Linked DNA regions of Sus scrofa. The protein of the gene in region 1 purifies or fractionates together with the protein of each later gene. This does not show direct contact. Links are inferred from orthologs where the notes say so. Each region holds a gene or a part of one and is shown in the gene's direction. Other genes may lie near its edges.

Region 1 (10,730 bases):
CTCCCGCTGCCTCCTGGCCCCATGTGCTCAGTCACCTTCCCTTTTCCATAGCAGACTGGCCATGTTGGAGCAGCTTTCTCAGCCTGCTCGCCTGTACAAAGTTGGGGGCTGAGACCTCTTTTATTTTGAACTTTGTTCTTTTTTGTTTAAGCAGATACAACCGCTTAAAGCTTTGTGGATTTTCTGTGTATCAAATTATAACTCAATTAGATAAAAGCTACCCTGCAAATATCTTGCAGCGGCCCCTCTCTCCTGTGGGGGATGAGCCTGGTGTTGTGGGACAATGACCTCAAGACACTTGGAAAACTTTCTGCATGGCCGACAGCGTCTGTGAGGGTTCCCTCCCCTGGAAACCCTTCAGAGGTCTTAACAAGGGGTCACATCCCTCGCCTTCGGATTTTTTTTTTTTTTTTTTTTTTTTGGTGGCTGCACCTGCGGCACATGGAAGTTCCTGGGCCATGGGAGTTCCCATCGTGCTCAGCAGGGACTGACTAGGATCCATGAGGACATGTGTTCGATCCCCAGCCTCGCTCAGTGGGTTAAGGATCTGGCGTTGCCATGAACTGTGGTATAGGTCACAGACGAGGTTCGGATCCCGCCACGCTGTGTCTGTGGTGTAGCAGCTTAGCTCCCATTCGAACCCTAGCCTGGGAACCTCCATATGCCTCAGGTGTGGCCCTAAAAAGACAGAAGGAGTTCCTGGGCCAGAGATTGAACTGGGGCCACTGCGGTAACCAGAGCCACCACAGGGAACTCCCTCATGGTGTCACTTCTTCCCTTGAGAACTTTTGCTGCCTGGAAAGTCTGGGATTGAGAAATAGTTTTTACTTTCCAACTGCAAGACTTAGCTTGAAATGTTCCCTCCAGCTTCTGCTGGAACATGGACCATTACTGCTTTAGTTCATTTCTCTTTATTTCACTATGGCGTAAACAACGGAAAGAAGCCGTTTGGCCCTTGAAGCTTTCCGCCTGGGAAATGAGATGATTCGATCCATTTTCTGTCTTCCACGTTACCACAGGCAATGGTCGGGCCACTTTCCTGCCAATACTCGACCTGGCTCACTGTTCTCCAGCCTTCCCCAGCGGTGTCCCCACTGCCCTGCCGGAGTCCTCCTGCTGCCGATTCCAGAGTCAGTGCAGGTTTTAGAATTTTGTTATGGCAGTGTCTCGCTTCTAAGTGTCAGGGTCTGTTCCAGGCATCTGCTGGTGCATAAAAAATGACCCGGACCTTATTAGCTTAAAACAACTGTGGGAGTTCCTGGCGTGACTCAGCAGTTAACGAACCGGACTAGCATCCAGGGGGATGAAGGTTCGATCCCTGGCCTCGCTCAGTGGGTTAAGGATCTGGCGTTGCCACGGACTGTGGTGTAGGTTGCAGATGCAGCTCGGATCCCTCGTTGCTGTGACTGTGGCATAGGCTGGTGGCTACAGCTCCAATTTGACCCCTAGCCTGGGAACCTCCATATACCGTGGGTGCAGCCCTAAGAAGACAGAAAAGATACCAAAAAAAAAAAAAAAAAAAAAAAACCCAAACCAATTGTGGATTTTCTCATGAATCCATGGTCTAGACTGGGCTCAGCTGGTACCTTCTCCTGCTGTTGGCTGCTGTGGGAAATTGTCTCAAATTGTCGCCATAGATTCCTTCCCTCCATTGGTCGTAGGACTGTTTTGACGTGTTTACTGAGGTTCTGGGACTTCTGGCCCAGGCCTGAGGACTGGAAGCTTCACCTCCCTCCCTCTTGGCGGCCTGCCCACAGGTAACAGCTCACTACCTGGAGACCCTCATGCTGTGCAGAACCCCAAGCCACACTTGCTGAGAGGGCTAATGGAAGGGACACACGACCAGCCCCCAGCCAGCCCAGCCACTCCACTCGAGCTGTCATACAAAAGCAGAAGGATGTCTTAGATGCTCTGTCGCAGTCAGATCCCACGCAGAGCACAGCCCCCTGGCTGAGTGCAGCCTCGTTTTCAGAGTAAGTAGTAAACTGGGGTGGCTTGTTACACAGCAGCAGAAGCTGAAATGGCCAGGGCCTCTACGGCTGCAGTCATCAGGATGTGCGACCAAGGAGGCAGCTCTGAGAAGGTCTCTCTCGTGTCCAGGCTCACCCTCTGTGATCTCGCCAGCGGAGCAACCCGGACCCTCAGGGAGTGAGAGCAGGGGCCGCCAGCCCTCCTTAGAGCCTGCAGCTGGTGTGGCATCTCTCTCTGGCAGCTCAGGCAAGTCAAGGGGCCGGGTCGGATTCAACGGGAGGCCGCCGTGGGGCCCGCCGGCTGAATGCGGTTGTTGGGGGACGGCATTCCCACAGACGTAGGAGGGGCTGCCAAATCCACTGGGAAGCAGGGTCCTTGGAGGACAGGAGTCATGAGAATAAGCACTCTCCTTTTTGCTTGGTCTTTTTTGGGCCGCGCCAGCGCCAAGGGGAAGTTCCCAGGCTAGGGATCAAATCAGAGCTACAGCTGCCGGCCTACACCACAGACACAGCAACATGGGATCTGAGCCAAGTCTTCCATCTACACCACAGCTCAGAGCCACGCCAGATCCTTAACCACTGAGCGAGGTCAGGGAGCAAACCTCATCCTCCTGGATACGGGTCAGGTTTTTACCTCCCTGAGCACAAGGAGGAGTCCCCCAAATCTTCAGTCTGTTGTCTCCCCCAAACCCATCTCTAGAAGTGCCAGTTCACTTGGGTGCCCAGTGGGCACTTCAGACTCTGCTGGTCATGACTTTCTCCCACTGCCAAAACAACTTGTATCCTGGCTGGTCGTCTCCGTCAAAAAAAAAAAAAAAAAAAGCCACGCTTTTCACCCAGCTGTTCTGGAAAACTGGTCACCTTGACACCCTCCTTCAAGCAATCCCATATTTAACCCACCAGTGGGCGCCGGCACCCTTCTCTAATCCTAGCTAGACTCTCCGGGGTGCCAGCGAATCGGCGCCTGGGTGTTGCGCCCCATCCTTCACCTCTCTCTCCCGCTGCTGCGGGCCAAGAGTCCCCAGCCCGGGGCACAAACCCAGCCTAGCGCTGTCTCTCAGCACCGAGACGCGGGACGGGGGAGACCCTCCCGGGGCGGAGTCTGGGAGGGGGCGTCGGCCCCGCGCGTCCGCTCGGCAGGTGAAGCCTCCGCGCTCGCTGGGGCAGCAGGGGGCGCAGGTGTGCCAGGTTCCCGCGAGCCCCGCGGGCGCTCCACCCGGGCGGCCGGGGCGGGGCGCGGGGGACGGACAGAGGCGGGGCTGGAGGGGGCGTTGCGGGACCCTGGTTGCGGCTCACCGGGCGGCCGGAGCGGGCGCGGCGGGGTGCGGGAGGTGGCGGGGTGGTGCGGGGGGACGAGGAGAGGCGGGAACGGGCCAGGGCGGGGTCGGGGCACCGACCGAGGCCGGGCGGGCAGGAGCCGGCTCGGGGCGCTGGCTGGGGAGGGCTGGGAGCTGGCCCGGAAGCGGGGGCCGGGGCCCCGGCGGGGACCGGGGTTGGGGGGTGGGGGCGGTCGGAGAGCGGGGGCCGGGCGGGGCGGGGCGGGGGCGGGGCTCGGAGCGCGGCTGCTGCGGCGGCGGCGGCGGCGGCGGCGGGGTGGGGGCGTCAGTGTGCGGCTGCCCGGCCTGGGCCGCGGCATGGGGCGGGTACAGCTTTTCGAGGTCTGCCTGAGCCACGGCCGCGTCGTCTACAGCCCTGGGGAGCCGCTGGCGGGGGCCGTGCGCGTGCGCCTGGCGGCGCCGCTGCCCTTCCGAGGTGGGCGCGGGGTCCGGGGAGGGCCGCACCTGCGGGGCGGGGCGGAGCTCCCGAGCAGCTTCGGCGCTCCGGCGCGGCTTTGGGGGCGCGGGGCCTGGGACCCGCGAGGCCTTGGGCACCGCCGACCACCCCCTCCGCCCAGTCCCGCCCGCCCGGGGCACGGGTCCTGCCGGCGGGAGGGCTGCGGGGCGGCGGGGCGGGCCGCCGACCGCCGGGGTGGGAGGCCAGCGGCGGCCGGGGCGGAGCAGGGAGGCCCGTGTGGCCCAGTCCTTCCGCATCTGCCCTTCCTGTCCTCTCTGCCTACAGGCGGCCAGAGTCGAGGCGGCGGCTTTGAGCCGGTGCACCTCGGCGAAGGCCACTCTGATCTGGACCCAGGACGCCCCCGACCGTCCCTGTAGGGTCTCCGGTCCTCTGCGGCCCTCACCTGCTGAGTGGTCCTCATCTGAAGCCTGGCCGTCCTGGGCTTGCTCTCCCACATACCCAGGGTCCTGGCTCAGGGCCTCCTTCCTGACAGCCCCGCCGAGAGTGCAGATCCCCAGGGGCACTGGCTTACACCCAGTCTAAGGCTAGTTTTAGCGGGCTGGGAGGGTCTTGCTCATCCCAGGGAGCCCAGGCCCCTGGCCCAGCAGGCATCTGGGAGCTGAACCTGAGCCCTCCTGGCCAGTCACTCTCTGCTGGCGCAGACATCTGGGGCTTTGAGACTGGGGATCCGGTTGCTGCGGTGGCACTTGCTAGGGTGCAGGTCTCGTCCGCTGTCTGAGATGTGTTTGGGAATTCACACCTTGGCCAGGAGAGGTAGAGTGCGGTGCACAAAGCCACGGCCCAGGGCCTCTCTCCGGAACTCTGGCTCCGGCTGTGAGGCTGTGTGGTGTGTCTGTCCCGGGGTGCCGCTCTGTCTTGGGGGTGCTTGGCTATAACCGCAGCTGCTGGGCCTCCCTCTGGGCCTTGGCCCCAGGCCCCTGTGTGGCTGAGGACTGAGAGCCACTGTCCTTCTCTCTGGGCAGCTGCTGCCTCCATCCTGGATGGGTTGGACCCCAGACTTTCTCACTCTTTGAGGCACCAGGGGTCTAGGAAGAAGCTGGTTGTAGGATGCCTCTTGTCAGGTGAGCAGCTGTGTGGCGCCTCCTCCCGTGACTGGTGGCCTCTCTCCTGCTCTCCATTTAGAGTTCGGGGTCTGGGTGGGGTAGGTGTGGTTGTGGGAGCGGCACAGTGGGGACAGTGCAGCTTTTCTCTGGGGCACGAGCCAGAGGTAAGAGGTGCATGTGGCTAGTAGGCTTCTGGCCTCGGGGCTGGTGCCATGCAGCCCACAGAGACCCCACCCAGAGCTCGCATCCTGGCATGCCCGCCCTGTTGCCCTCTGGTAGCTGGGGCCCAGGGCAGACAGGCCATTGCTGACCGTGGTGAAGGAGTGGCGTGAGCTGTGCATGACTACCTTCGGCTGAGCAGAGCCCCCTAGGCTCCATGTGGTGGGTGGAATGTGGCTGGATGGACAGCTGGGCCGCAGGATCGAAGGAGCCCCTTCTGATAATCCTGACTATAAAAGTGCCCGCTGAGCCCTGGGTAGGGGAGGAACAGGTCAGGTCACGGGCCAGCCTGGGAGTTGCTCAGAGCGGGTACCAAGCGGCTTGCCCTCCAGGGGCAGAGGGGGTATGGCTGCCTGGGCTGCTGGAGGGCTCCAGGCCTGCCTGGGGTGGGAAAGGAAAGCCGGGGTTCTTTGTCTTTCACTCAGAAGATACTTGTTGGGCTCCTGCTACCAGCCAGTGACACAACAGGGAGGCCCCCCAGGAGGACACAGAGGATGGGGGCACAGGCCTCTAAACGCTTGACTGAGTGATGACCTGCACTCAGCCTTGAGGATGCTGGCAGCCGTGGGAGCTGATGTGGAAGAAAGCCAGGGAAGGAGCCGTTTTCCTGGAGCCCAGGTCTCGACCAGCCTGTAGTTGGCGGTCAGGCGGGGCTGCCCTGTGTTCTGCTCCCGAGGTGGGCGACAAGGGAGGGTGAGGCCCAAACTGCAGCCCCAGCAGCCCCAGCTCTGCTAGCTCCCTGAGCTCTGGCCGTGGGCTGGGGACCAACCCACGGGTCCTCCGAGCAGGCCTGGGAGGTGGGCGTGGTCATGCCTGTCGTGTTACAGATTTGGAGACAGGACAGAGGGAAGTGGTTCGCAGGCCAGAGCTGTAGAGAAGAGATGTGTTCCAAGGCCGGGCGGCCAGGTTCGCGGGGGCTGGGGGTGGGGTGGGTGGGAGAGACCTTTGGGACCAGAACAGAAAGAGGAGCAAGCAGAGGTCTTCCCTGCTGGATTGCAGGTGGTGCATAGGGGGAGGGCTGCTGGACAGGTGAGTGTGTTGGCTCAAGAGGAAAGTTCCAGAAGTCACTGTGATGCAGAATCCCTGTGATGATTTTGGAGAACCAGAGCAGCCTCAGGCCGCCCAAGACTGATTGGTGCCTGCCTTTTGTCATGCGTCCGAGCACTGTTATAACTGAACACTTCAGGGGTTCCCGCTGTGGCTCAGTGGGTTAAGAACCTGACTGGTGGTGCAGAAGTGCGGGTGTGATCCCCAGCCTGATGCAGCGGGTTAAAGGACCCGGCATTGCCATAGCTGTGGTGTAGGTCACAGATGAAGCTCAGATCCAATCCCTGGCCCAGGAACTTGCTCTTCCCTGTGCCACACGGGACCATAAAAAAGCCCAGAGCCGTCAAACGTAGAGGGCACCATGGGGTGCCGCCCCTTTGCCAGAACACACCTGGCCCTGCCCCACCTCCAGAAGCAGCCACCCCGCACAGAGTAGGGGGGACAGGCCTGCTGTGTGTCCACCCCTGAGCCTCCGCTGTTCTCCTTTGCAGGGGAGAGGAGACAGGGCGGTTTGACCCCAAGGCAGTGGCTGGAGGCTGCTCACCCAGGCAGGGTCCCCACGTGGCCTCAGCCTGCCGGCAGCTTGTTGAGAAGCTCGCAGAGTTCAGGCCCACCTGGGATGACCAAGTGTCGACTTGTTTTTTTGGGGTCAGGTGCTCCTGTGGCTTCTTCATCTTAATCCTGGGGCCACGTCCAGGCCGAGCCGGTGACTGTTTTCGCTGCCCTGCTGTGGGACACGGGGGCTCTGCCTAGATGGTTTGCGGTTAGGGGCGGTGTTGCTGGAGGATCCTGAGGAAATAGGGGGAGATTCTGAGAACTGCTGGACCTCCTGGTGTGTGTGTAGAATTGCCTGGTTTTTCTCCGGGGCCTTCGTTGGTCTGCGCTTGGATCGCTGTGGAGGGAATCTCTGTTTTTCTACCTCCTCTGTGACACTTGTCAAAATAGTTAATAGTTGCTAAGTTATCTGCGTTTCCCCAAATCCTAGTGAGGTTACACATCTCTTCTTTTATCTGCTGCTACGTGAAGGTCACAAGTAACAAATCACCCCTAGTGTTCCATGGTGATCTGGCGTTGTCACTGCTGTGGCTCGAGTCACGGCTGCCGTGTGGTTTCAGTCCCTGGCTTGGAAACGTGTGTGTGTCTCAGGTGCAACCAAAAACAGAAAAAAAAAAAAAAAACCAAAACCAAAAAACCCTAACCTAAGTGGTTTTATCATAGCTTGTGGTGTCGTGCGTTAGGAATTTGGACAGAGGGGGTTCCGGTTGTGGCTCAGCAGTAACGAACCCGACTAGTATCCATGAGGATGAGGGTTTGATCCCTGGCCTCCCTCAGTGGGTTAAGGATCAATGCCATGAGCTCCTGTGTAGGTTGAAGACGCTGCTTGGATCCTGTGTTGCTGTGGCTGTGGTGTAGGCCAGCGGCTGCAGCTCCAATCTGACCCTTAGCCTGGGAACCGCTATGTGCCAGAGGTGTGGCCCTTAAACAACTAAAAAAAAAAAATGGGGGCAGAGGTGGGTGATTCTTGAGCTCCATGTGCCATCCACTGGGGTCCCTCAACAGTGCACAGCTGGCACCGGGCCAGTCCGGGGACCACTGTGCCTCTCCAGCATCCTCTGTCCCCAGCACTCCCAGGGCAGCCCAACCCCAGGGGGATGCGCCCTCTCCACGGGAGGTGTTGAAAGCAGGGTGGTGTCTGGCATCCACCAGCATGTCTTCTATTCGCTCTGTAGTCAGGCTTCCCCTCCTCTGCCTGTTCCCCACGTTTCTTTTGGGCTGCCTTAGTCTGTAGGAGCGCCCCAGTGTCCCAGACTTCCAGGGTGGGAACAGTTCCGGGTCTGGCTCTAGGAGGGGACGACTGATGGAAGGTGGATTAGAAATGAGGGCTGAGGCCCAGGTGGTGAGGCTGGGCTGGCCTGGAGGCTGAGGGCCGGTCACGGGCAGTGCTGATAGGCTGGAGGACGAGCCGCAGGTGCATGGCGGGTGAGCAGCAAGGTGGGGCCAGCTGGGGAGATGGCGGACAAAGTCTGTGTGGCTGACCCCTGGCCCTGGGCATTTGAAACCTCAGGTCTTCCTGCCTGGTGGGTCTGTCAGGAGGGCGTCAGATTCTGAGTCACCTTCCCTTCACCTGTCCGTCAAGTCGGGGAAGGCAGAGGAGCTGGGCAGACAGGCTAAAGCCTTTGGCCTTGACTCAGCCCTGCAGGGAGGGGAAGGATGGACAGAGCTGCAGGGCCCCCCGTTGCTGAGCTCCCGTCCCCCACCCTGCTTGTGTCTCCAGTTGTGGCGTCCTCTCTGGTGAGCAGCTGCAGCTGAGCCTGGTCCAGCCATGGCCTTCTGACCATCATGGACTCTGGGCACAGGTCTCTTGGACTGACCAGGATGCCCCTGGGCTGCCACAGTTCCTGCTTTGCGTGCTTCCTCTGGGGAGTGGGGTGTCTGCATGCAGGAATCAGCTCTCCTGGGCAGTACTGGCTCAGGAAGCCCAGGGTGCCCCCACCCTCTGGGCCAGACTGCTAGGTTCCCTACCTGCCCAGGCTGGTCTGACCACATTCTTGCAGAGTGCGCTGGTGGCCGCTAGCTTCCTGGAGCAGGAAGGAGTGCCTCTCAGCCTGACTGACTTACCTGACACCTGCAGAGCGGTTGGGGTTGGAAGTCAGCTGCCCCACAGCCTCTGCTCATCAGCGCTGCTTTCCCAAGCATCCCCTGTAGGGAGCTGACTTTTCACCGGTCCGGTAGTGTTGGGGGTTGCCCAGCGGTCATCTGGGTGATCACTGGGGCCTTCCTGTTCTGGACCACAGGCCAAGTGGAACTCCGTGCCTCCCGCCTGGGCTCCCGAGGAGCGCCCCGAGATGTGGGATAGGCAGGAGGTGTCCCTCCTTCCCAGGGCCTCGCTGGTGCCACTGCCTGGTCCCCATTGCTGCCAGTCCCGCCTGAATCTCTGTGCTGGGGCCCAGGAGGGTCCAGGCCAGCAACTGGCTGGGGCTCATGCGATTTCTTCTTGCAGCCATCCGGGTGACCTGTACAGGGTCCTGCAGGGTCTCCAACAAGGCCAATGACGCGGCGTGGGTGGCGGAGGAGGGCTACTTCAACAGCGCTCTGTCCCTGGCCGACAAGGGTGAGTTTGGGAACCTCCTTATCCCACCCAGTGATCTGCTGCGGCAGCTCTTGCTCGGGATGGGGTCTGTCTGTCTGCCCTGCCTCTCCATCTGCCTCTGGGCCCCCGTGCTGGCTCGCCCTCTGCTAGGACGGTGCACTCTGATGCTGCCTGAGAGGGGCTGGGTGCTGAAGAGGGCCAGCTCCTGGATTTGGATGGGCTCTTGCCCCCCATCCTTTGCCCAGGCCACAGCCCTGTGCTGCCAAGGTGCTGGAGACAGAGGCTGGGAGATCCGGCAGCCAGCAGCAGTGTGAGCTGGTCTGCTGTGGGCCTGCTTCCTTTCTGGGCCCTGCGATGTCACCAAGAGGCTCCTGAGGCCCCGTCTTCCCCATCCTCCTTTCTGTCTCTGCAGGGAGCCTGCCTGCTGGAGAGCACAGCTTTCCCTTCCAGTTCCTGCTTCCTGGTGAGAGCCCAGCCTGACCAGGCCTGGCCTGGTGGCGACAGCTGGCAGTGGAGCGGGGCGGGGGGGGGGCAGAGTGGGAGGTGAGGCAGGGGGCAGTCGGGTGCCAGTCCTTTGCTCTCTCTCCAGCCACAGCGCCCACGTCCTTTGAGGGCCCTTTTGGGAAGATCGTGCACCAGGTACGGGCCACCATTGACACGCCACGTTTTTCCAAGGATCACCAGTGCAGCCGCGTGTTCTATATCTTGAGCCCCCTGAACCTGAACAGCATCCCAGACATCGAGGTGAGCCTGGAGCGTGGCCTCCTGGGGGCCCCACCCTTGCTGATGCCCTGTCCCCAGCAGAGGTGAGGCACCTAGGGTCTGGAAGAGCAGTGGCCCCTCTGTTCTGAGCCGACTGGGCCATGTTCAGGGGCCCCAGGGATCCAGCCTGACCACACCTGACAACCCTGCTCTCCGCCCTCCTCCCCAGCAACCCAATGTGGCCTCCACCACCAGGAAGTTCTCCTACAAGCTGGTGAAGACAGGCAGCGTGGTCCTCACGGCCAGCACCGATCTCCGAGGCTACGTGGTGGGGCAGGTGCTGCGGCTGCAGGCTGACATCGAGAACCAGTCAGGCAAGGACACCAGCCCTGTGGTGGCCAGTCTGCTGCAGGTCAGAGTCACTGCCAGGCCGTGTCCCCGTGGGACAGAGGAGGGCTAGGTGGCTGGCGTGCCCAGGCTCACCGGCTGGCCCCTCCCCAGAAAGTGTCCTATAAGGCCAAGCGCTGGATTTATGACGTGCGGACCATCGCAGAGGTGGAGGGTGCCAGCGTCAAGGCCTGGAGGCGGGCTCAGTGGCAAGAGCAGATCCTAGTGCCCGCCCTGCCCCAGTCGGCCCTGCCGGGCTGCAGCCTCATCCACGTGGACTACTACCTGCAGGTGCCAGGGGTGCAGGGGTGCCGTGGGGGGAGGGTCCAGCGGCCTGGCTCCTCACTCCTGCAACCTCCCCAGGTCTCCCTGAAGACTCCGGAAGCCATTGTGACCCTGCCGGTCTTCATTGGCAATATCGCTGTGAACCAAGTTCCACTGAGCCCCCGGCCAGGCCCAGGGCCACCTCCGGTAGTG
Region 2 (10,671 bases), on another chromosome or scaffold:
TCCAAAATGCTATGAGCAGGTGTCATTATGTCCCTTTTTTACAGATGGGAAAATGGAGGTGCAGAGAGTTAAAATAAAATGTCTATAATCACAGAGCAACTTAATAGTAGACATATGACTAAAACCCAGATATCAGGCCTTGGGGTTTATTCTCTTATCCACTATTTTAACCTGTCGCTCTGATTAAATTGAGGTCATTAGAGAAATAAAACAGTTTTGGTGTATATCTGTGTTTTTCCTTTTTTTTTCTAGGGCAAAGCAGTTTTCTATTATGGCTTAAAGCTGTAAAGGTTCTGGCCTATTTCTTTCTTTCAGGGAAGTAGCTTAGTTATGTGCAGCCTGGATTTTCTATTTGACTATAGTGTGTTAAGAGTTAATTATTTATAGTGCTTGCTGAAGCTGATGTGCTGTTGGATTCACTCTGGGTTGACAGACAAAAATGGCCTGTTGAAATCCAATAAAATGAAAATTTCATGAAACCGTCAGATTAGAGGTTGACCTGAATTTTAGGCTTCATGGATTTGAAGATGTCTCATAGTTATGGATTGTATTATGATGTCAGAGTTACTATATACCACGTAAGGAAAACAAGTGCTAAATTTATGAAGAAGAATTAGTTTCTGTGTTCATTTTATTTCTGCTCTTTTTACATAGGACATCTTGCCCACCAATCGGTAATTCAAGAGGTAGTGCTAAAAATAAGAGATCAACTTCATGACAGAAATTAATTGAATCAATAGTACATTTACAAGTACTGTGACCTTTGCAATGGCAGAAGGTCCCCTTCACCCAAGTGGTTGTGAATTGGATGAGGGATGGGAGAAATTAGGTAACCCTACTCCTTTTTTCTTTCCTCAGACTTGGTAGCCAAGATTATTAAGGATAATGTAAATATTGAACCCAAGATTACTTTTTTTTTCATGGAAGTTCATGCTGACATTCCAGGACACCTTGCAGGGTGGCCATTTGAAAAGATGTAGCATATTGAAGAGACCGGCACATAATAAGGATGCAGAGTAAATGTTAAATCCATAAACCTAATAGTGAAGGCTGTCGTCCTGAAAGGGGTAGTGTGGGGGAGGGCCAGGTTCATTCCGTGTAGAGCCTGTGGCATCTGGGTGAGGGGGTGTGAATCCATGGACGTGCAGGAAAGGCACTGGCAGATGGAACCTCAGATGTGCTAGAGGAAAGTACAGAGGTCTTGGAAAGAATCTCTGTCAGAGTCTGGCAGTGAGGAAGAAAGTGGATATTTTAGGACTAGACTGAAAGTGAGCCAGCGGGGCTGGATCTAAGTTCAAACAGGCTCTGTTCCTTTAGATGGAGGCCAAGTGGGAACCAAAGGAAGTGGCTTATCATGGGTCCAAATGGTAGAAATAATGTGGACCAGTCAGAAAATCAGGAATGGCAATGAGCCGTTCCAGAAAAGGGCCTCAGGTTGCAAGCCGTGAGTATCTAGGAAATAGTCAGGAGTATCTCTTCAGAGCTTAAGGAGTATCTAGGGGAAGGATGCTGCTGTCATTGATCAGTTCATTCAGCATTTATTGATATGTACTATCTATCTACCAGGCACTGTTGGAGATACTGGGGATAGAGTAGTAAACAAAACATGCATTTGTGAAGCTTATATTCTTCTTTTTTTTTTAACTTTCAGCTTTATTGAAATGTAATTGATAATAATAAGATACTTAGGTACATCATGTTGATTTTTCTATATGTATACATTGTGAAACGGATTCCCATCTAGTTAATGAACACACCCATCACCTTATGTATTGATTTATTTATTTTGGTGACAGCATTACCTTCTACTCTCTCGGCACATTTCAATTATATGATAATGATGTTATCAACTATAGTCATTCATGTTTTACCTTAGCTCCTCAGACCTTATTCATCTTAAAATTGAGAGTTTGTAGCCTTTTACCAACCTCCGTGTTACCACCAACCCCCACTCTTCTACTCTCTGTTTCAAAGAGTTTGACTTTTTTTTTTAGCTTTCGCATGTAAGTGAGATACTACAGTATATCTCTTTCTCTGAATTATTTCACTTAGCATGATGTTTCAGTGTTCCTCCATGTTGTTGCAAATAGCAGGGTTTCCTTCTTTCTCATGGCTGAGTGATATCCCATCATGTATGTACTATGCCTTCTTTATTCAGTTATTTGCTGATGGACACTTAAGTTATCTGCATGTTTTGGCTATTATGAATAATCCTACAATGAACACGGGAGTGTACATATCTCTGTGATATCCTCTTTTCATTTCCTTTGGCTGTATACCCAGAAGTGGAATTGCTCTATCACATGGTAGTTCTATTTTTAATATTTTGAAGAACCTCTATAGTGTTTCCCATAGTAAATGCACCAATTTACATTCCCACCAACAGTGTAGGAGTGTTTCCTTTTCTCCGCATTTGTTATTTTGTGGTCTTTTTGACATCTTGACAGGTGTGAGGCAATGTCTCATTGTGTTTTTGATTTGTATTTCCCTGACGATGAGTGATACTGAGCATCTTTTCATGTGCCTGTTAGCCATCTGTATTTCTTCTCTGGAAAAATGTCTATTCAGGTCTTCTGCCTATTTTTTAAATTTGTTTTTTTAAATATTGAGTTGTATGAGTTGATTATATAGTTTGGATATTAATCGCTTATCAGTCCTATCATTTACAAATATTTTTCTCCCATTTAGTAGATTATTTTGTTTGGTCAGTGATTTCCTTTGCTCTACAAAAGCTTTTGCGTTTATATAGGTTCCATTTGTTTATTTTTACTTTTGTTTTCTTTGCTTTAGGAGACAGAGCCAAAAAAATATTGCTATATCAAAGAATGTTTGGTCTGTTTTTTTCCTATGTGTTTTATGGCTTCCTGTCTTATGTTCAAGTTTTAATCCATTTTTAGTTGATTTTTGTGTATGGTGTAAGAATGTGGTTTAGTTTCATTCTTTTACATATAGTTGCCTAATTTTTCCATCTTCATATAGTGAAGAGACTATCTTTTCCCCAAGCTTACATTCTTGTTTGGAAACCTAAACAATAACCAAACAAATATGTGTATGGTACTTTGTGGGACATCGGATTGTAGTAATTGCTTTTGAGAAAAGTAAGGCAAGGAAAGAGGGGTAGAAAATGCTTGGGTTTTACAGATTTAAATAGAATAGCAGCTGTATTTAAGTGAGGGGGTGACATCTGAGCAAACTACTGCAAAGGGATTTAGTGAGTCTTATTCCTATGTGAAGGAAACTGGGCAAGTAAACTTGTCCTCAGTGGTGTATTTTAATTGTTTTCCATGTGTCAGAATTTTCTGTCCTGCTATTTTAAAATTTAACTGCATCATCAAATAAATATGTGCGTGAGGGGAAGGAGAAGAGGCTACCATTTCTAAAGGGAAAAGGATAGACATACAAGGGATGGCAGGGAAATCCCTTCCTTAATTGCCGGGAGGAAGCCGGTGGCCAGTGAAATCGAGGGCCACAGGTGTTTGATGACCTTTAACATCATGTGACCTCAGTGTATAGAAGTGGTTTCTGACATCATCCGTTGACAGTCGAATAATAGGTTTTATTTTGACAGCAGAAGATTATGGCATGGCTAGGCTTTAACAAGCGGTCCTAATGTCCTAACGTCTTTACGTTTGGGAAGCTTAAACTTAATTCCTCACATTGTAGCACTAATGCTTTGTGCTTGTTTGTCTCTCACAGCTTTGTAGGAAGCCAACCTCAGAGACGGGATGGCTAGCTCAGCCCGGGAGCACCTGCTTTTTGTGCGGCGGCGAAATCCCCAGATGCGGTACACTCTGAGTCCAGAGAACCTCCAGAGCCTGGCTGCCCAGAGCTCCATGCCTGAGAACATGACCCTGCAGCGGGCCAACAGCGACACAGATCTGGTGACTTCTGAGAGCCGGTCCAGCCTGACTGCCAGCATGTATGAGTACACGCTGGGGCAAGCCCAGAACCTCATTATCTTCTGGGACATTAAAGAGGAGGTGGACCCGAGTGATTGGATTGGACTTTATCACATAGGTGAGTCAAACAAAATGGACTTGCTCATGACTTAGAGCATACATTTCACTCTGACATTTTCTATTCTGTGGTTTCTCCTGGGAAGGAATTCACATACATAAATTCCAGGCAGATCCTAGGAATTTTTCTTTCGTCTTGAGGGTGGGGGAGTCAACATTTATAAATACCTTTGCTGATATGAATTCTGTGGTTATATCTCTGCCTTAATTAAATGTGAGAATCTGTGATATTTTCCTTTTAAAACTTCACTTTCCCCTTAATCAATAGCCCCATTTTGGAAAGAGGTTGCTATTAACATTTACTAGTATTTTTAAACCAAGGAAAATCTTGTCTAGATTTAGATAACTGATATAAAAAAATGTTTCATATTTTCTAAATGTTGAATTTCGTTAAGAACAACTTTCAGTCTAAAGTATCTTTATTTCAAAATTGATTAATGTGTCCTGGATCAGTTAGGTGAAGAAAGTGTCACATTGTCCTAACAAATGACTTAGAAATAGGTTGCTCTTTGTTTTTTAAAATAGTGTCCCATCTCTGTTTGTTTGCATCTGTTATTCATAGGTGAGTGCCTGATGAATAGCACATCCCAGAAAATATAAAGCCTGCTTTATATGAAAGCAAAAGTCGAAACCTACTAATCTATCATAAAGAAAATCTAAACTTAACCTAGTAATAAAATCGAACACCTCTCCCCAAAATTGGAGAACTTTTTCACTGAATAAAGGGAATCCTTTTAAAAATTTAACAGATATTTTATCAGAGAGACACTGTGGCTTTCAATGTAGATTATAAATCAAGCATATTTTTGTGTGCATGTGAATAAATTTGGCAATGTCTGCAGACATTTTTGGCTGATATAACTGGGTGAGGGTAATGGATCAGGGGTACAGCTAAACATCCTGCAATGCACAGGACAGCCCCTCACAGCAAAGAATTGTCTATCCCCACATGTCAGTAGTGCCACTGTTGAGAAACCCTGGTTGAGGCAAAGTAATATCCTTGCTGAAATTTTATTAAAATGTTGAACCCATTGCCCTTTATGTTTCTCTGGACAGAGAATTTTATATTGACTAAAATAAAATTGATTTGCATTTACTTACATATTTTTTAATATTTAATCATGCTAAAAAGCAAAATGTGGCAACCAAAAAATTCAATGCATTTTTATTTTTCTATTTCTTCTTACGACAAAAAAAGGGAGGAAAAGTTTTCAGTGTTCAGCCCTTTACCCAGGTGCGTTTAAATATATATTCATAGTGAGGAAGAGACATGATTTAACAATTCTGTTTTTATATCTGATATCTATTATGTTCACAAAAGAATCTTAGTTTTGACGTGACTTAAGAAGTAACTCTTTTGGTTTTGATTTCACCCTTCTGGATTTCATAATTTTTTTTTTCAGTTTTGTCATATTTTTTCCTTTTTTTCTCATTTTAGATATTGTAATGCTTAATATAAGACTACAAATAGACTGTTTTCTTAGTGATCTTCATTTGATATTTCTTTGGGACATAATCAGTGTTATTTTCTCACATAGGATGATATCTTTTTTCTGTGGGAATCGCTTAATCTGTAAGATGCTAGAATCACTTAGGATTCCTATGTGGACAGTGACTTCTATTACTCCATACTTTTCCCCCTATCTTCCTTTCTGTTTCTCTACCCTATTGTTATATTTCCCTGTATGTACTTTTTTTTTTTTTTTTTTTGTCTTTTTGCTATTTCTTGGGCCACTCCTGCGGCATATGGAGGTTCCCAGGCTAGGGGTCTAATCGGAGCTGTAGCCGCAGGCCTACGCCAGAGCCACAGCAACTCGGGATCCGAGCCGCATCTGCAACCTACACCACAGCTCATGGCAACGCCAGATCATTAACCCACTGAGCAAGGGCAGGGACTGAACCCGCAACCTCATGGTTCCTAGTCGGATTCGTTAACCACTGCACCACGACGGGAACTCCCATTCCCTGTATGTACTTAAAAATTTTTTTTGTAGTTGATTTACATTGTTCTGCCAATTTCTGCTGTATAGCAAAGTGATCCAGTCATACATCTATACACACTCTATTTCTTATATTCCCTCTCCTCATGTTCCATTACAAGTGATTGGACATAGTTCCCTGTGCTATACAGTGGGACCTCATTGTCTATCCATTCTAACTGTAACAGTTTGTACCTACTAACCCAGATTCCCAGTCCTTCCCAATCCCCCCCCCGCTTGGCAACCGCAAGTTTGCTCTCCACATCTGGTGAGTGTGTCTGTTTCTGTGCTGTAGGTAGGTTCGTTTGCGCTGTATATTAGATTCCGAAATAAGTGATAACATCTGGTATTTGTCTTTCTCTTTTTGACTTAACTTCACTTAGTATGAGATCCCTGACTATATTTAACTAAGAAGGAACTAAGGAATCCAAAGCCAAATTTATCTTATTCCCGAGTAGCCAAAGTCACAAAATCTTGGTGTTCTTATTTTTCACTTTCTAGAGTATAGATCAGAATACTACATCTGGAATTAACTAAGGATATAGGTAGGAAAATAGTATTAGGAAATAAATCTCTTTTGAAAGTGCTATTCTTTAGTTTATTTCAGTTTCTAAGTCTTTACTATATATTCTCATTGTGTTTTTGCTTTCCTGTGTGTAATCTATCTCTTTTTTCCCTCTTGGCTACTTTGAACATTTTTTCTTTATCTTGGTTTATCTTTCAGCAGTTTGTCAATGATATATCTAGCTGTGTTTTTATTTAACCTGCTTGTAATTCTTTGAGTTTTTTTTTTTTTTTTTTTTTTGCTTTTTAGGGCTGCACCCGTGGCATGTGGAGGTGCCCAGGCTATGGGTTGAATCAGAGCTATAGCTGCTGGCCTATGCCACAGCCACAGCAACACAGGATCTGAACCGCATCTGTGACCTACACCACAGCTCTTGGCAACGCTGGATATTTAACTCACTGAGTGAGGCCAGGGATCGAACCCACAAACTCATGGTTCCTAGTCAGATTCATTTCTGTTGTGCCATGACAGGAACTCTTTCTTTGAGTGTGTTAAATAAGCTTTTAATGAAAGTTGTGAAAATTTTGAGCTTTTAATGAAAGTTGTGAAAATTTTGAGCTTTTAATGAAAGTTGTGAAAATTTTGGCCGTTATTTTTTTCAGGTTTTTTTCTATTTTTACCTTTTTTTTTCCTGAGACTTTAGTTACACATATGTTACATCATTTCATGTTGTTTTGTGAGGCCCCAAGGCTCTTAATTTTTCTTCAATCTCTTTGCTATTCAGATTAATCATTTCTTTTTACCTGTCTTCAAGTTCACTAACTTTTTCTATTTTTATCTTCATTCTCCTGTCAGTCCCATCCAATGACTTGTAAAATTTGAGATATTTGACTTTTTATTGATAGAATTTGCATTTCTCTTTTTATGGTTTTAATTTCTCTTATGAGAGTCCCTATATCTTAACTCTATCAGACCATATTTTTGTTCAGTTCTTTTAATTCATTTGAATACAGCTGTTTTAAATTATCTGCTAAAGCCAGTATCTGGAGGATGAGGGCATCTGAGGGTCAGTTTTTATTGTCTATTTTTCTCTTGACCATAAGTCCCATTTTCTTATTTCTTTGTGTATCTAGCAATTTTTTATTTTACACTGGACATTGAAGAGTCTATATTGTAGAAATCCTGAGTTCCATAGGATAATTTTTATTTTAATGTTAATTTTATTCTAGTCGGCAGGCTTATTTCCTTGAGCTTACTAGTTGTGATTTAATGCTTTGTTAGAATGGATCTATGGAAAGCCCAGTGTAGTAACCCAGCACTTCTAACTTGATGAAATTTGGCCTCCACGTTTGGTCTCCTCTGTGGATTTTGTTATGGTTTGGTTTGGAGATTTGTTAGAGTCTATGGTGGGCTTTACTATAGGACTTTGCACTTATTCCTAAGTAGTGGCATTTCTGATGTCTTAGCTGGATGCCTGGAATGTTAACCATTCTGTTTGGCTGGGCTGTAACTTCAGTGTTCTCCAGCATTGCTTAACCTCTTTAACTGTAGCATTCTCAGCCCTGTAGCAGCTGCTCTCTGGAAAGCCTTGGTAGTCTCACCTTACACATGTGCAGCAGAGACCTTGGCCAAAGGCTTGTGGGGGACCCCCATGTGGACTTTTGGCCCTTGTACCTCCATAGCTCTTTCCTTTCCAGTGCCTTGCCTGGAGATTGTAGCCACTTCAGTTGACCCAAACTCCATTTGTTGCCTCTTCAGCTCTTGCTAACTTACATGGCCTCTAACTCTGTGTACTGCACTCAAAAAAATTGTCCCCTGGCAGAGATCTGTGTGGTCATAGAAATACCTTATCACTTTACCTTCTCTCTGGGATTTTATTCTTATGCCACCTATTCTGTAATGTCTGAAAACCACTGCCCTTTAGTTTTACAGTTGTTTCCTTAGGAAGATGAGTCTGGAACTAATTACTACAATATGGCCTGGAGCAGAAGTTTCTCCTCTGCTTTTGATTTAGGGTAGGCATTAAGAGGTTCCACTTAATTTTCCCATCTACACATTTCCAGAGAACTCTGAGTAATTAATAAGTGATTGTTTGAGTTCCAGCCATTTGTCTTCTTCATGGTGTATTTTCTTATAGTCTGTAGCATGGAAGAGGTATGAGGAGTTGGCACCCTCAGATCTCTTAAAGGACTAGGATGAATGCAGAGACTAGCATTTGGAAATAAAAATACCATGAAAGTTGAATGAGGTACGTGGTGTTTTCAGGCATGCTGTTGGTTTTAGCAGGTCTTCTGCATTAAAAGGCACAGGTCCTAAAATCTAGAACATGAAGTATGGCTCAGTTATATAGTTGCAGAGCCACAGCTGTGTTTAAAAGAAAGCTTAGCTTCTTTGGGACCTCAAAATGAGTGACAGAGACCTGGCTTTAAGCAGAGATAGCTATTTTTCTCCTGGGGCAAGAAAGGACTGTTCTGACCTCTGGACTGGAGGCAGTCTCACTTCTGTGGGGACTTGCTATCCCATGTGATGAGAGAGGCCTGGCAGCACTCTGGTCTTTAACTGACATGCATCCCTGATCCCTTTTTCCTTATGGAACTAGGGGATGGGCCGCAAGCCCTTGGACTCAGGGCAGGTTGGACCCCTCCAGGCTCAGGAAAGGTCTAAACCTATGTGGTAATCCAACTAGTAAGTAAGTAGTCTAGGTGTGCCCATGTCACTCAGTTCTGGCCAGTGATATGTAAAGGAAAGACTTTGGAGGAACTTCCTTTTCCAGTGAAAAGCTGGAGCCTCATGAAGAGAATCTTTAAACCTCCCTTCCTCTTGCATTTGGGACTCTGGTGAAAGGATGTGCTATCTTTAGTCGTTGCATCCATGTAGCAACCATAATTTATCAATCAAGAAGGTTAAAAGCCAAGAATGACAGAGCAGAAAGCTGGAAAGAGCTTGGGCTGGCACTCTAAAGTTCTTGCTGTATATAAAAAGAATCTTCACCTCTGTTTAAGTTATCATTAGTGAGGCTTTCTTGTACTGAGACAAGCTGGGGCCTGAGACCTAGGACCCTTGGCTACAGTGCTTGCATGTGGACAAACATCTCCTCTAGCAACAAAAACCAAAGAAACTACTAGGGACTAAAAGCAACTGTATGCATGCACAGTTGGGGTACATTATGGACAGTAAGATGCAAAGACCAACCCCCCCCCCATCCCAACTGCCACTGATGAAGAGCTGGAGCAAAAACAAAGAACCGCAATCAAAAGCATATTACTGTGCATGTACCCTGCTCACACCACCAGCCACGGGATGGGCAAACCACCCCTAGACAACCCTCTGGCCTAACCCTTGGACCCGCCCCTAGCCTCACCTCATGTAAGGAACCAACTTGCCATCCCTTGGGAGCCAGCGAGGGAACCTGTTGACTTGTTTTTGCTCCCTCATGCTGCAGCAGGAGCCCTGACAAAGCCTTGTCTGAATTTCTTGTCTGGCCTCTTATCTTACTGATTAAGGAAGGCCAAGAACTGTGGTTGGTAACAGTACCAGCAGTTCTTGAGCTGCTAGGGTGGCTCTAAAGATGAGAAAGAGAAAAGGAGGAACACAACTGCTTTTAAAGACAGGATGAAGAGTGAGTCGGTTACTTCTATAGCTGCTGCTTCAGGGAGCATGCTCAGGTTGCTTTCACATAGGTAAACCATATTTTGAAAAATTTGAAAAATTTTGAAAACGGTTAACTCCAAGCCAGGCAGAAATTTTCAAAAGTTTATCAGGACAAATGATGTGATAGGCAGCATCTTTTAAATGAGTATTTAGTAATCTGAAAACATGCAGAGCAGTTTTCTTGGGGTAAGATAATGCATTTGGAGAAGACTTGAAAGAAAGGAGGAAATGCAGGGCTGGAATGGGGATGTCAGGGTCCGAGTGATGTCATAAACTCAAGGCTGTTATGACTAAAGAAGAATATTCATAATAAGTTCTCTGTCAGGCTCTGTGAAGTAGAGCTCATAACAATAGCACATGTAGTGGGAATAGCTTCAGGTTTCTTTACCTCTTAGTAGGAAGCAGCCACTCCTCTTCAGCTGTGTCCTGAGAAGCCGGACTGTTTCCTAGCAACAGCTAGTTTTATTTGTGGAACTGAGAGATGGTCTCTATAGAAATAAGTCCCAAAGGGAAAGGATTT
Region 3 (10,857 bases), on another chromosome or scaffold:
AAATAGATTGATAACATAATATTCTAACTAAAAAATATCTGTTGTCATCGGTGAGGTCATGATATTTGGGTCTCAGATTTTTACATATAGTTTTGAGAGTGTGAGATGTGTTTAAGAGTATTATGCATGTTCAAATGCACACACATGTGTATATGTATTTTTCTGTAGTATGTTTCATCTTAGTTTCAAAGAATGTTTGACAGTCCATGTCTTACCCAAGCCGAGGATGAAAGTATCTTTTCCTTGTCCTTGTGAGATGTATATTTAAATAGATTGATATGGAGATGGATGGATGGGTGGATGGATGAATGGAGAGGAAGATTGAAGGCTAGCTAGCTGAATATTTTTAAAGCTGGTTATTCTGGGGGAAAAATGGACTTTTGGTTTATAACTGGCAGAGTTTTTTCATGTTACATAAGCTGATCAATATTGTTCTTTATAAAGTATTCTACAGATTTCAGTATGTATATAAATAGTGAACACTCTGACCCTCTGTCACCTGCTTCATTGCTGTCCAGAAAAGATTTGTAGTTTGGCTGAGGGAAGTAAACAAAGTTCATTTCCTTCTTGATAGAATAATCATATCAATGTTAATTTCTTGAAGAATATCTTTATGTTTTCATGATGATGGCTCTTTATAGGTCCCCAACATTATTCCTTCTGGTTGATAGGAAAGTTATGGTTTTCTTATCTATGAATCATCTGTTTCATAAATGTATCCCTTCCCCATCTAGTTTGGTTTATAGAATAGTCTCAAATAATTGAATAAATGCTTCTTTTATTGCCATTTTGAAAATCTCGGCTATTTTTTCAGTGGAAAAAAAAGTTTAAGCAAATATGTGGACTGCATTGTACTAGGAACTGTTAATGTTTCAAAGACTGTAAAAGAAATTACAAGATGATTTCTCTTCCAGACGCTGAACCCAAAGTGGAATGAAGAATTTTATTTTAGAGTAAGTTTTTCTTTTTCTTTTTTTTTTTGACGATTGTTATTGAGAATAACCATATTGATATATTATCACAACAGACTCCTAAGAGTGAAATCCATTACTTTTTTATTATGAAATTCCTTTTAATACAAGAAATAATTGGTTAGCTTCCTGATGTGTCCCATGTTTTCAAAGACTGTGACTAGTGGTAGCAAAATCTGGACTTATTTCACTGGGGGATGTTTAAGGGAAACAAAAAGAAGTTTATCCAAATATGATATTTTAGCTTTTCTATTCAAATTTTTCTTTTAAAAAAAAGATAAAATATAACTAAAACAGTAGCTTAATTATTTCGGTAAGACATGAGCCCAAAAGAAGCAACATGATTAAAAAGATTAAAAATTACCAATCATATTCCAGTTGGTAAGGAAAATTTTTATAATTCAGACATTCAGTATGAGTGTATGTGTGTAATATAAAACCACCTCTGGAGTTTAAGTATCACCAAATCGAGTAAAATTTCCTCAACCTTTTATATTTAATATCTAGAAGAGCTATATGTAGATATGACAATTCTGTGAATTAATGGAGATTACTGTTTAATGAGATTTTGTGGTTGTTGCCCTTTTTTTGTACTGAAATTTTGAAAATATGAAACTGCTCATCTATATAACGGGAAAAAAAAGAATTTTTTCCTCTTCAGAATGAATTAATTTTAATCATCTGTATAGCTGTGATATTAAAAAACATTTACCTCCAGAAATGCTCTAGATAAGATCTTCTGATTAGTGTAGATTCCCAAAGAAGTGATTTCTTCCTTTCAAACACAATAGCATTTTATGTACCTCGACTTAGATCACTATATAGGACATTTGTTTTCTGTTATGTTTAGAGCTAAAATATGGCATTGATATTTTAATATTTGGTGAAAGTCTACATGTAACCTCTACCAGATGTATTTTAAATTATTTTCTGAAGGACTGAAAAAGTAATGGGGCCAGCTAGATGTTATTGGCCTTTCGCTAACCCTCAGATACAGCTTTCCACTTGTAATAATCCAAGCTGCTTAGACTTCTTTCATTTTAACACCATGGCCACATTTCTGTAAATTTTAATGCATTCAGGTTTTTTTTTCCTTCAACTTTCACATTAGCTCTAAACATAAACTTATTTACTTATTTTTTTTTTTGCCTTTTAAAAAGCATTTTTGCTGTATTCATCACACAAATCTTTACTGAGTGCCTACTGTGTGCCAGCTCCTGCATGGCCTGTGGATGCACTGATCAGCAGCACAGCCCTTCACTGAGCTTACAAACAGACACCAGCCTCCACCGTCCACCTGCTCGCTCTATCACTAGGCTGAGAGCAACCCAAGGGGTCAGAAGCACAAGTTGTGTTCTCTGTACCTCATTCCATTTTCCATTGTGAAGCAGCCTGGGCTTAGTGGACCTGGGACCCTTCTCTAGCCTTAGCACTTAGAACCATTCTGACCCTGGAGAAGCTACCTGAGGACTCACACTCCCCTCTGGCTCCTTATCTCCCACTAGAAGAGAAGAATCTTCACTTGATAGGCTTGTTTCTAGGATTTATGTGCATTAATAGAAATGACAACACTTCCCACAACATCTCACACATGTGGTTGGTCCTTAACGAAATGACACTTGAGTGTGAATGATGATTCCTGCTATTTCAGTGAAGTCTGGGTGAAGAGACAGAAAGAAGCAAAAAGACATCACCTAGAATTCCCGTTGTGGCTCAGCAGTAATGAACCCGACTGATATCCATGAGGACACGGGTTCAGTCCCTGGCCTTGCTCAGTGGGTTAAGAATCTGGCATTGCTGTGAGCTGTGGTGTAGGCTGGCAGATACAGCTCTGATTGGACCCCTAGCCTGGGAACTTCCATATGCTGCAGGTGCAGCCCGAAAAAGACAAACAAAAACAAAAGCAAAAACCAGACATGGCCTAGTGGCTCTGACACTGACCCCGCAGTTGCTGGAAACAGAACCATCTTTTATTTCCTTGTCTCTTTAATGGTCCGGAGAGTGGGCTTTGGAGACGAGCAGGCTAGACCTGATGGGGATCCTGGTTGCCCTGCATACCAGCTATGGGCTCTGGGGCAAGTTAGTTAACCCTTCTGGTCTCGGCTTCTCATTTGTAAAAATCGGGGTGACAATTATACATCATAGGGTTGCTTTGAGAATAAATGAGATGATGTATTTTTGATATTTAATAAGAAGATAGTGCCTAAAAAGGAAACATGCAATAGGAATGTTTTGTTTTGCTTTTTTTAACTATTTACATGCTTTTACTGTTTTATTCTTTTTTTTTTTTTATCATTGCTGTTATTTTTAGGCCTTAGAGGTTTCCTCGGACATAGACCTTTGTGAGGATGTAGCCTTGATCTACAGGCATGAGGATGCCTTTTTAGCGGAGACTTAGGAACTTTTAAAAATAAAAGTTTATCTAGAAAAATAAATTTAAAAGAAACTGTTTAGAAATATCCTTTCTCGCATTAGAAAAGTGACTTAAACCATTTTCTCCTTCTTATAGGCCTAAATATTAGGTGTAAAATAATATAGCGATCAATCATAGAAAACTTGATTTAGTATATAGAGGATTTTCATAAGAGCAGATTGCTTATATTGTACAACTGATTTGAGTGCATTAAAAAGCATTTTATTCTTTCAGTCTCTTTTTTCATTCGTTGAATTATTTCTGCTCATTTTAAAAGTATTATCTGGGAGTTCCCTGGTGGCTCAGTGAGTTAAGGATCCAGCATTGTCACTGCTGTGGCTCAGGTCCAGTCCCTGGCCCCAGAACTTCCACATGCCTCAGAATAAATCAATAGTAACAATTATTATTTTTGTCCCTTACAGGTAAACCCATCTAATCACAGACTCTTGTTTGAAGTATTTGATGAAAATAGATTGGTAAGTGGTTCCTGATTTTTAATTTTTGCTTCATTTTTTAAAAATTGAATTTTCAGCACATCTTTAAAAAGTCTATATGTGTTTTATTTCTCACAGCATACATGTCCCTCAAAAAGACTATTTTTGTCCCATTACTAGTTTAATGTTCGTAATTCAAACAAATATTTTTGTGTGGGTAGGACAAAATTTATTTGTACCTGTGTAAGTTTTTAATCATAGTTAATATTCATGACCATCACACTGGTGGTATATCAAGCCATATATGCTTATACTCCTCTGTTGGGGATACAAAGAGGTGGGCAAATCTCATTACTCATGGAAATAAACCTTTCAGGATTTTTATATGTAAGCCAGACTTTGAGACTGTGACACGTTCAATAGTGAATCTCTTTGGGATGACAGAAATCTAATTAACAGTATATAGCAAAAAGTGAATCTATATTTAGCAGGTAAAATTAAGCTGTATTTTAAAAGCGGTGCTTTCTCAAGGGAAATTCAAAGAAAGTACCTTCAAAGAACCAGAGGTATGCCTAAGGCATAAAACTAGTACTAATATGTTGTATAGATTATAGGTTAAAAATACTTATATATGGTTGCCTGCATGAGGCAAATTCAAGTTTTGCTTTTTGGAACTTTCTGGAATTTTTTTTCTAGATATTTTTGATTTGCAGTTGGTTGAAACCGTGAATACAGAACCTGCAGATGTGGGGGGGGGAGTCCAACCATGTATTAATTGCTTAAAGGAAATGTTATTATGAATCCTTCCTTCTGCAGAAGTCACCTGAAACTCCAAGTTTTTGAATAGCTTGAGTTTAATAGAATATTTGATCTGGAGGAGGCTTATAATACAACTCATTTAATTCCCTGTCCTTGCATGTGAGAGAACTGAGATCTAGAGCCTTGATGTAATTACATACCTGCCCGTCTATTAAGTCTCAGGCCATTGGTGGTGAATAGCCAGGCCTTAACCCTTAGTATTGAACCTAGGAGTATATTTGATCTCCTATGCCTGGAATTATTCTCCAAATTAGAAAGCAACAGATGCTGGCCTACCATCCTGATATATTTTCTATTCAAATATACGGATTCTCGGCGGCTTTGCATTGAACTTGACATTTTATACCTTGGGTGATGCTTAGTAGTACTGAATAGCTAAATCAGTTTTGCCCGGTGCACGAAGTTATTTTGCTGTTAAATCAAATGAGAAATTCTGCTTGAGGGTGTAGTTCTTGGTGCTCCATCTCCTGTCCAGAAACACCGATTGGGCAGAGTTCAGCAGAGTCCCAGAGTCCACAGATGGAGCCACAGATTAATCCTTACTCTCTCTTTTATTGTGTCTTACAACATTTCTTCAAGGTGAAGAAATGGTCAGCTTTGTGGAAAAAACTGTCTCTTGTCAGATGTGTTTTAACTCATTTAACTCTTCTATTGAAAGAAATTCTCTGTAAAAAATGTTTCCCATTTCCCTTATCTAAAAGAATCACTGTTGTTGAGAGGACCTTGCCATGAGCCTAAAACTTATACTTCCAAGCCGAATAGGGCTTTGAATGCAGAGCTCTAAGAAATCTCATGTGAAACTTTATCTGAAAAACTGTTTTATGTACCTAGCTTTGCCCCAGGCTGTCTGCATCCTTGTTACTATGCGTGAATGCTGCTGCTGGTGGTTTTTTCTTTGTTGGCTATTAATCCAGCAGAGACACTACGTGACTATAGTGGTACTTGGCAGTTTTCACATTAAACAAACTAGCTTCCATTTCTCTCATAGAGATCATTTTTGGCATTTAAAACACATGCCTTTAGAAAACAGGTTTGGATGTATATAAACACAAGGTTAATCCTCCACACTCTGGACTCCAGAGCTGTTGACAAAGTCAACATATATTAAAATAAACTTTTTGTCACTTTTTGCAGCTTGGTATTCCCACATCCCTTCCCTTCTTACTTCCTCCGAAATAAGCCTCTTTGTTAATAACTCGTGTTTCAGGACAATGAAAAAGAGTATGTTTAAAACACTCAGAATATATCCAAGTTAGCTACAAATCCGATGACAGCTTTTTGAACGTGGACTTTCACTTTTATTACTTAGGTCTTTTTTGACCCTTCACAAAAATGTCAAGATTCTATGTTTCCCAACTGGGCTGATATTGCTGGCTTCTTACTGGAAAACAGTCAGCCAGCTCCAGTCAGCCTTTTTTTCCTGCATGGTATTGAAATTAACTTATTACAGAAACCACATGCATACCCTTTAATTTTCCTTCTCCTTTTTTTTGGGGCGGGGGTATTGTTTTCTCTCCTATCTGGCATATGGGAGAGAATGTTTTCTCCAGCTGGGTTCTTTTTCTCTGGTCACTAACATGTCCGAGAATCCTATTATGTGTGAGATGGTGTGCCGCCAGCACCTCCCTCCCCCATCGTTTAAATGAAAAACGTCGTAACCAGAGGCAGACCACTGCTGGGGAGTGTTGTAAGCGGTGCCCCTTTCCACTTAGCTATTTTGTTACTTGTAGGTCATGGTCTAATTATTTAGCATTAAATGGCGGGGTGTGTAATCGTATTTATAGTACGTTTTATTAGTTTGCATTCCATCATGGTAGTGTGGTGATATCATAAATAACAGGGCAACATAACATCCGATTGCTGGAGAAAGGGTTTTCCTGCAGCCCCGGCATTTTTACTCAACAACGTTTGGTTTCGTGGGAAAGGTGGTGGGGTAGGTGGGGGAATACTATGGGCGCTTTTCTGTGTTAGGAGCCGGGTCTCTCTCCTGCATTGGTTGGAGAGTCCCGGGGCCCTGCTTGGTTCAGAAAGAAGTGTCCTGTGAGCGCCAATGCGGTTAGATTTATAGCAGCATGGCTCGGAGTGTGTTTGCTGCCTTAGTCAGCTGTGAGAGCTCCCTGCTGGGGCCACTCCTGTCTGATGGAAAAGCAGCAGCTGGGAAGGTGCTGTTTCAGGCTCTTGCTGTTTAAAAAAAAAAAAAAAAAAAAAGAGGGAGAGAGAGCGCGCGCGAGAGGGGGGAAAACTCCTCTAAGTCCACAAGCTGGCATTGGAGGGGGAGACAGCGGTCATGTGGTTCTGGCTATCCTACCCTCTGTCACAGTGCGGATGAGAGCTTTTTGCTCTTATCCAATCATGCCTGGAATGCCGCTTGCCACTTGGGTTATTTCTGCTATCTGTCGCTCTTAGTGCCGCAGTGCTAAAGGTTTGGCAGATGGGACACTTTTTCTTGGAGTTTGTGTCTTTGGTTTTTGACTTCTGGCAGCGCCGGGCTTGTTGTTGCCGCTCGCCCTCTCCCTCCCTGGCCCTCTGGGCACCATGGCCCATCGGCTTCGGTTTCATTTTGGCTCTGGTCGCAGCAACACAGCCCCCGAATCAGAGATCCTAGACCAGGAGAGAGAAGACGACTTTTTCATGGCATTCCACACGCTCCCGCGGAGGAGCGGCCCTCACCCCTTTGCCTCTCATGGAGCGGAGGATGGCGGAGGTGGCCTGCAGGCAGGCGTGGGCGCGCTGAAGCGCAGCTCGTCCATGTTCATCCCCCAGCTCCTGAGCCCCGTTGACACGCGGCCCACCCGGAGTTCATCCGTGCAGATCTCGCTGCAGCGCAAAGCTGCCGACGGGGCCCCCGACGGGTGCGGGCCCCCCGAGGGCCTGGACGGCGACGCGGGCTCAGTGCCTCGGAGCGGCTGCTCTGAGACCCCGGAGCCCAAGAGCCTCGAGAATCCCTCTCCCGGGGCCGCCAGGGCTCCAGGCCCGCAGGTCAACGGCACGTGTGGCCGACGAGCACCCGGCCTCACAGCCCCCGATGGCCGCGAGGAGGCCAAGCCTTCGATCGCCCAGGGGCCCGAGGGCAGCGGAGGACTCCGCATCCAGCACCGCGCCTCCAGCGCGGATGTGCGCCAGGTGAGGCTGACGCCTTTCGGGGCTGACGGCCCAAGCAGCTCGTCGGCGCAGGAGCCCAGGCGCTGGTCCCTGCAGCACGTTCCAGATGCTTCTGGAAGTTCTGGGAAGCGGTGTTTTGTCTTCCAGTTGCAGCAGCCGCAACCCGGTGTGCCAGGGCTGGGTGGTGACTTCAACTTCGGGTTCACCGGCACCAAGGGGGACAGGTTGGTGAGGTATCCCCGCATCCGGCTAGAGAGGAGCACCTCGTACCCCACGCAGCCCCGAGCAGAGCGCGGGAGCCCCACAGAAGAGCACGGCCATCCGGAGACACCACCCCGGGGCCGCAGGGTGGCTCCCGAAATCCACAGGACCAACTCCGTGGAAAGGACGCCGCAGGGTCAGGGCTGCACGTTTAAGATCAGGCAAGATCAAAATGCGGGGCAGCAGCATTTCAGAATTCTTGTGACTCGGGGGCCAGAGGAAGCTCCTCAGAATCCCGAGGAGAATAACGCCTCCTGCCCTGGTTCCTCAGGAGCCAGCGCCCCGGTAAGTTAGTGTGCGTTTCCCTGCAGTGGCCTGTCGGCAGGGACTGATTCAAGTTCAGCCGACTGATTCTGCAGCATAATTAAAATAAACTCCATCCGCCTCCCTTCTGGGAGTTTCCTTGCTTCTGGCCAGAGTAACTTAATGTTTGGCCGAGTTCTGGGACCATGATTTGTGGTCCAGCCTTTGGTAGAGGTCCATGAAACTAGTTAGCATTTCAGAAAATATCATTTCCTTAGGTCCTCAAAGTCAGACAGCTCTGTTTTGAAAACCCAGACACAACCCCTTCTGCTCTTTTCCTCCCTTCTGAATAAAAGAATTTTTAAAACATATCACTTTTTAAGTGAAACTGCAGGGCCCCAACATGTTGATGTTGGAAGTGCATTTAAAAGCTGCTTGCATATGAAGCCTCTGACAACACTTGCTTTTTAAAAATTATCAGTTCTAATAGAGAGAGAAAATTTTGTGTTAAACTTATCTAGTCGCTTAATAATTAAGGGTATGCGAAGTTTGACCAGTTCTTCCTAATGGCCTTTTAGCTGTGGAGGGCTGTCCCTTGTTATGTAAGTTATGGTCTTTGTTGTTGTTGTTATTTTGTCCCATTAAGTAATACTGAACAAGGGGAGTCACATTTGTGGGACAGGAGGAAATGTGTTTTTCAAGCAGTTTGGCTTATGGGCCCAGGCAGGGCGAAACTGATTTGGGAACTTGTTAATGGTCAGATTGCACAGTCCTGCAATTTAACACGGCCCACTTGAGTGTCTAAGCGGGGCTGCTGTATATAGAATAGTAAGTGCCCTGTCTCCAGCTGTGGAATCAGACGCCCTGCAACAGATTTTGGCCTTTATTGCTCCTGTGTTCTTGCTCTCTCCCTTTCAGTGAAATGGAGTACAGAAAGACAGCTGCTAACTCCAGCAGGCAAATGATGACTCTGCAGCTTTCATAGTTTGTCATGGGATGAAAAGTTCCATCGGTTAGCTTTTTTTTTTTTTTTTTTTTTTTTTTTTTTACTAATAATCCCTAGGCACTAGGCTCTGAGTGCTTTATTTTTAAAGGACAGGCTCCTTGTGTTTTGAATGGGTTTTTTTCCTTGAATTCCCTGTGATTGCTGGTTTGAGGCTATGACAGTGAAATGTCTAGGAGACTTTTTGTTTGGGTTTTAGTTACCAGTTGTGACTTTTCAAAGTGGTTGGCTGAGTATGATTGTGGGATTATAGTGTCTTTTATTATTTTGTGTTGAGGAATATTTTTGGCCACTTGAGTAAAACTTCATCAGTGCTCCATCGTTGGTTTTCACCATTTTGAAGGTGAAATCAGATGCTAAATTGCAAACATTACATTTTTCTAACTATTTCTTATTCTTTTCCCTTCTACAAGCCATTTTCTCTTGTTATCTCTAGTTCCTTTATTAGAAGATACCTGAGTGCATTGTCTTGGTCTGAAGTGATACCATTTTTATGCAGGGGTACCGATTTCCATAACATTTTGATAATAGCTGCTAACCTTCAGCCCAAGAACGTACCATCACAACAGGTGTAGGCTTCAATAGACATCACAGCTCCATGCTGAATTTGGACCACCTACCACGTGGAGATTGACAAAACACATTTCCAAAAGTTTGGACAACTGTTCAGTTATGTTATCAGAAATTTAAATCATTTTGCAGTTAATGTTGAGGACAAATGGATTTATATAATTATAGTCTCATTTGGCTTGAGGTTCCTCATGTAATTATAAAACAAGTAGAACATACCAAAAATTATGTAGTTTACATACAAAGACTGTTCCAACTTCCAAGGGCTATTACAGTGGAAAACAGATTTCTTCAAATTTGGAAATGAAAGCTCTGGAATAAAGAGCTTTTCTTAGAGAATATGTTTCATCTAGTGCACAGTAGTTTTTATTTTCATATTTGTATTTTTGTACACTTAGAGAAATTTGTAAACAGTTGGCGGGAAGCTGGTCTTTTTTCAAGCGAAAACCTGTTTTTTTCAGGAAGCAAAAGCAAAACTTGGTGGCGTAACAAAACTGCCTGCTCCATTCAACACTTTGTACGTGTTTCACTCGGGCAGAGATGTTAAGTGCGGGCAGCAGCTGCCACAGCCTTATTTATCTTGAGGGAAAACATTCCCTTGGGCGTCTACAGTCTGGCTGCCCCCAAGCGTTTTTGATGTTTCACATATCTGCTGCTTTGGTCAGAAGGGCATTTTCGTTACTATTTTACATGAAAAATCGATTACGGTCTGGTTTTTGAGTAACGTCAAAAAACATTTCCCGATTGGGAAAAGCATTCAAGCCCCCTTTTGCGAATGTGCTTATATTTCATGATCTATGCCTTAGACCTTATTCCAGGGTTGCCTCCGTGAGTAATTTTCTCTGTCTCTGCCTCCCAAACATCCTGTGGTGAGTAAATCTAAAATGCAACGTCATTCTAAAAAATGCTGATCAGATTCCTAGAAAAAGAAACATCAGGAACCCCTGTGATCATAGATGTCCCGCCTGGTCTGACACCTCAGTAAAGTAGAAAGGATGCTTAGAGTTATAATCAGTTATAAGTTTTCAGAGTTCTCACAAC

Evidence for each region.
Region 2: the proteins of ARRDC1 (region 1) and HECW2 purify together in Homo sapiens (affinity purification with mass spectrometry; 3 studies listed by BioGRID and IntAct, counting the BioPlex papers as one, with this or other methods). This does not show direct contact. The link is inferred for Sus scrofa from reciprocal best matches to the Homo sapiens genes ARRDC1 and HECW2.
Region 3: the proteins of ARRDC1 (region 1) and NEDD4L purify together in Homo sapiens (affinity purification with mass spectrometry; 3 studies listed by BioGRID and IntAct, counting the BioPlex papers as one, with this or other methods). This does not show direct contact. The link is inferred for Sus scrofa from reciprocal best matches to the Homo sapiens genes ARRDC1 and NEDD4L.

Annotation. Positions count from the first base shown.
Region 1 is NW_018084833.1:394,025-404,754, reverse strand, and holds the start of ARRDC1 (arrestin domain-containing protein 1), read left to right. Parts: upstream 1-3,531; 5' UTR 3,532-3,604; coding exon 3,605-3,722; intron 3,723-3,757; exon of another isoform or gene 3,758-4,726; coding exon 4,727-4,825; intron 4,826-7,440; exon of another isoform or gene 7,441-7,542; intron 7,543-7,550; exon of another isoform or gene 7,551-8,046; coding exon of another isoform or gene 8,047-8,053; intron 8,054-8,063; exon of another isoform or gene 8,064-8,348; coding exon of another isoform or gene 8,349-8,365; exon of another isoform or gene 8,366-8,430; intron 8,431-9,074; coding exon 9,075-9,185; intron 9,186-9,576; coding exon 9,577-9,627; intron 9,628-9,734; coding exon of another isoform or gene 9,735-9,753; coding exon 9,754-9,908; intron 9,909-10,095; coding exon 10,096-10,278; intron 10,279-10,367; coding exon 10,368-10,730. UniProt on the Homo sapiens protein: Functions as an adapter recruiting ubiquitin-protein ligases to their specific substrates. Through an ubiquitination-dependent mechanism plays for instance a role in the incorporation of SLC11A2 into extracellular vesicles.
Region 2 is NC_010457.5:100,334,706-100,345,376, reverse strand, and holds the start of HECW2 (E3 ubiquitin-protein ligase HECW2), read left to right. Parts: upstream 1-3,723; 5' UTR 3,724-3,725; coding exon 3,726-4,017; intron 4,018-10,671. UniProt on the Homo sapiens protein: E3 ubiquitin-protein ligase that mediates ubiquitination of TP73. Acts to stabilize TP73 and enhance activation of transcription by TP73. Involved in the regulation of mitotic metaphase/anaphase transition.
Region 3 is NC_010443.5:162,509,872-162,520,728, reverse strand, and holds the start of NEDD4L (E3 ubiquitin-protein ligase NEDD4-like), read left to right. Parts: upstream 1-3,909; 5' UTR 3,910-7,172; coding exon 7,173-8,285; intron 8,286-10,857. UniProt on the Homo sapiens protein: E3 ubiquitin-protein ligase that mediates the polyubiquitination of lysine and cysteine residues on target proteins and is thereby implicated in the regulation of various signaling pathways including autophagy, innate immunity or DNA repair.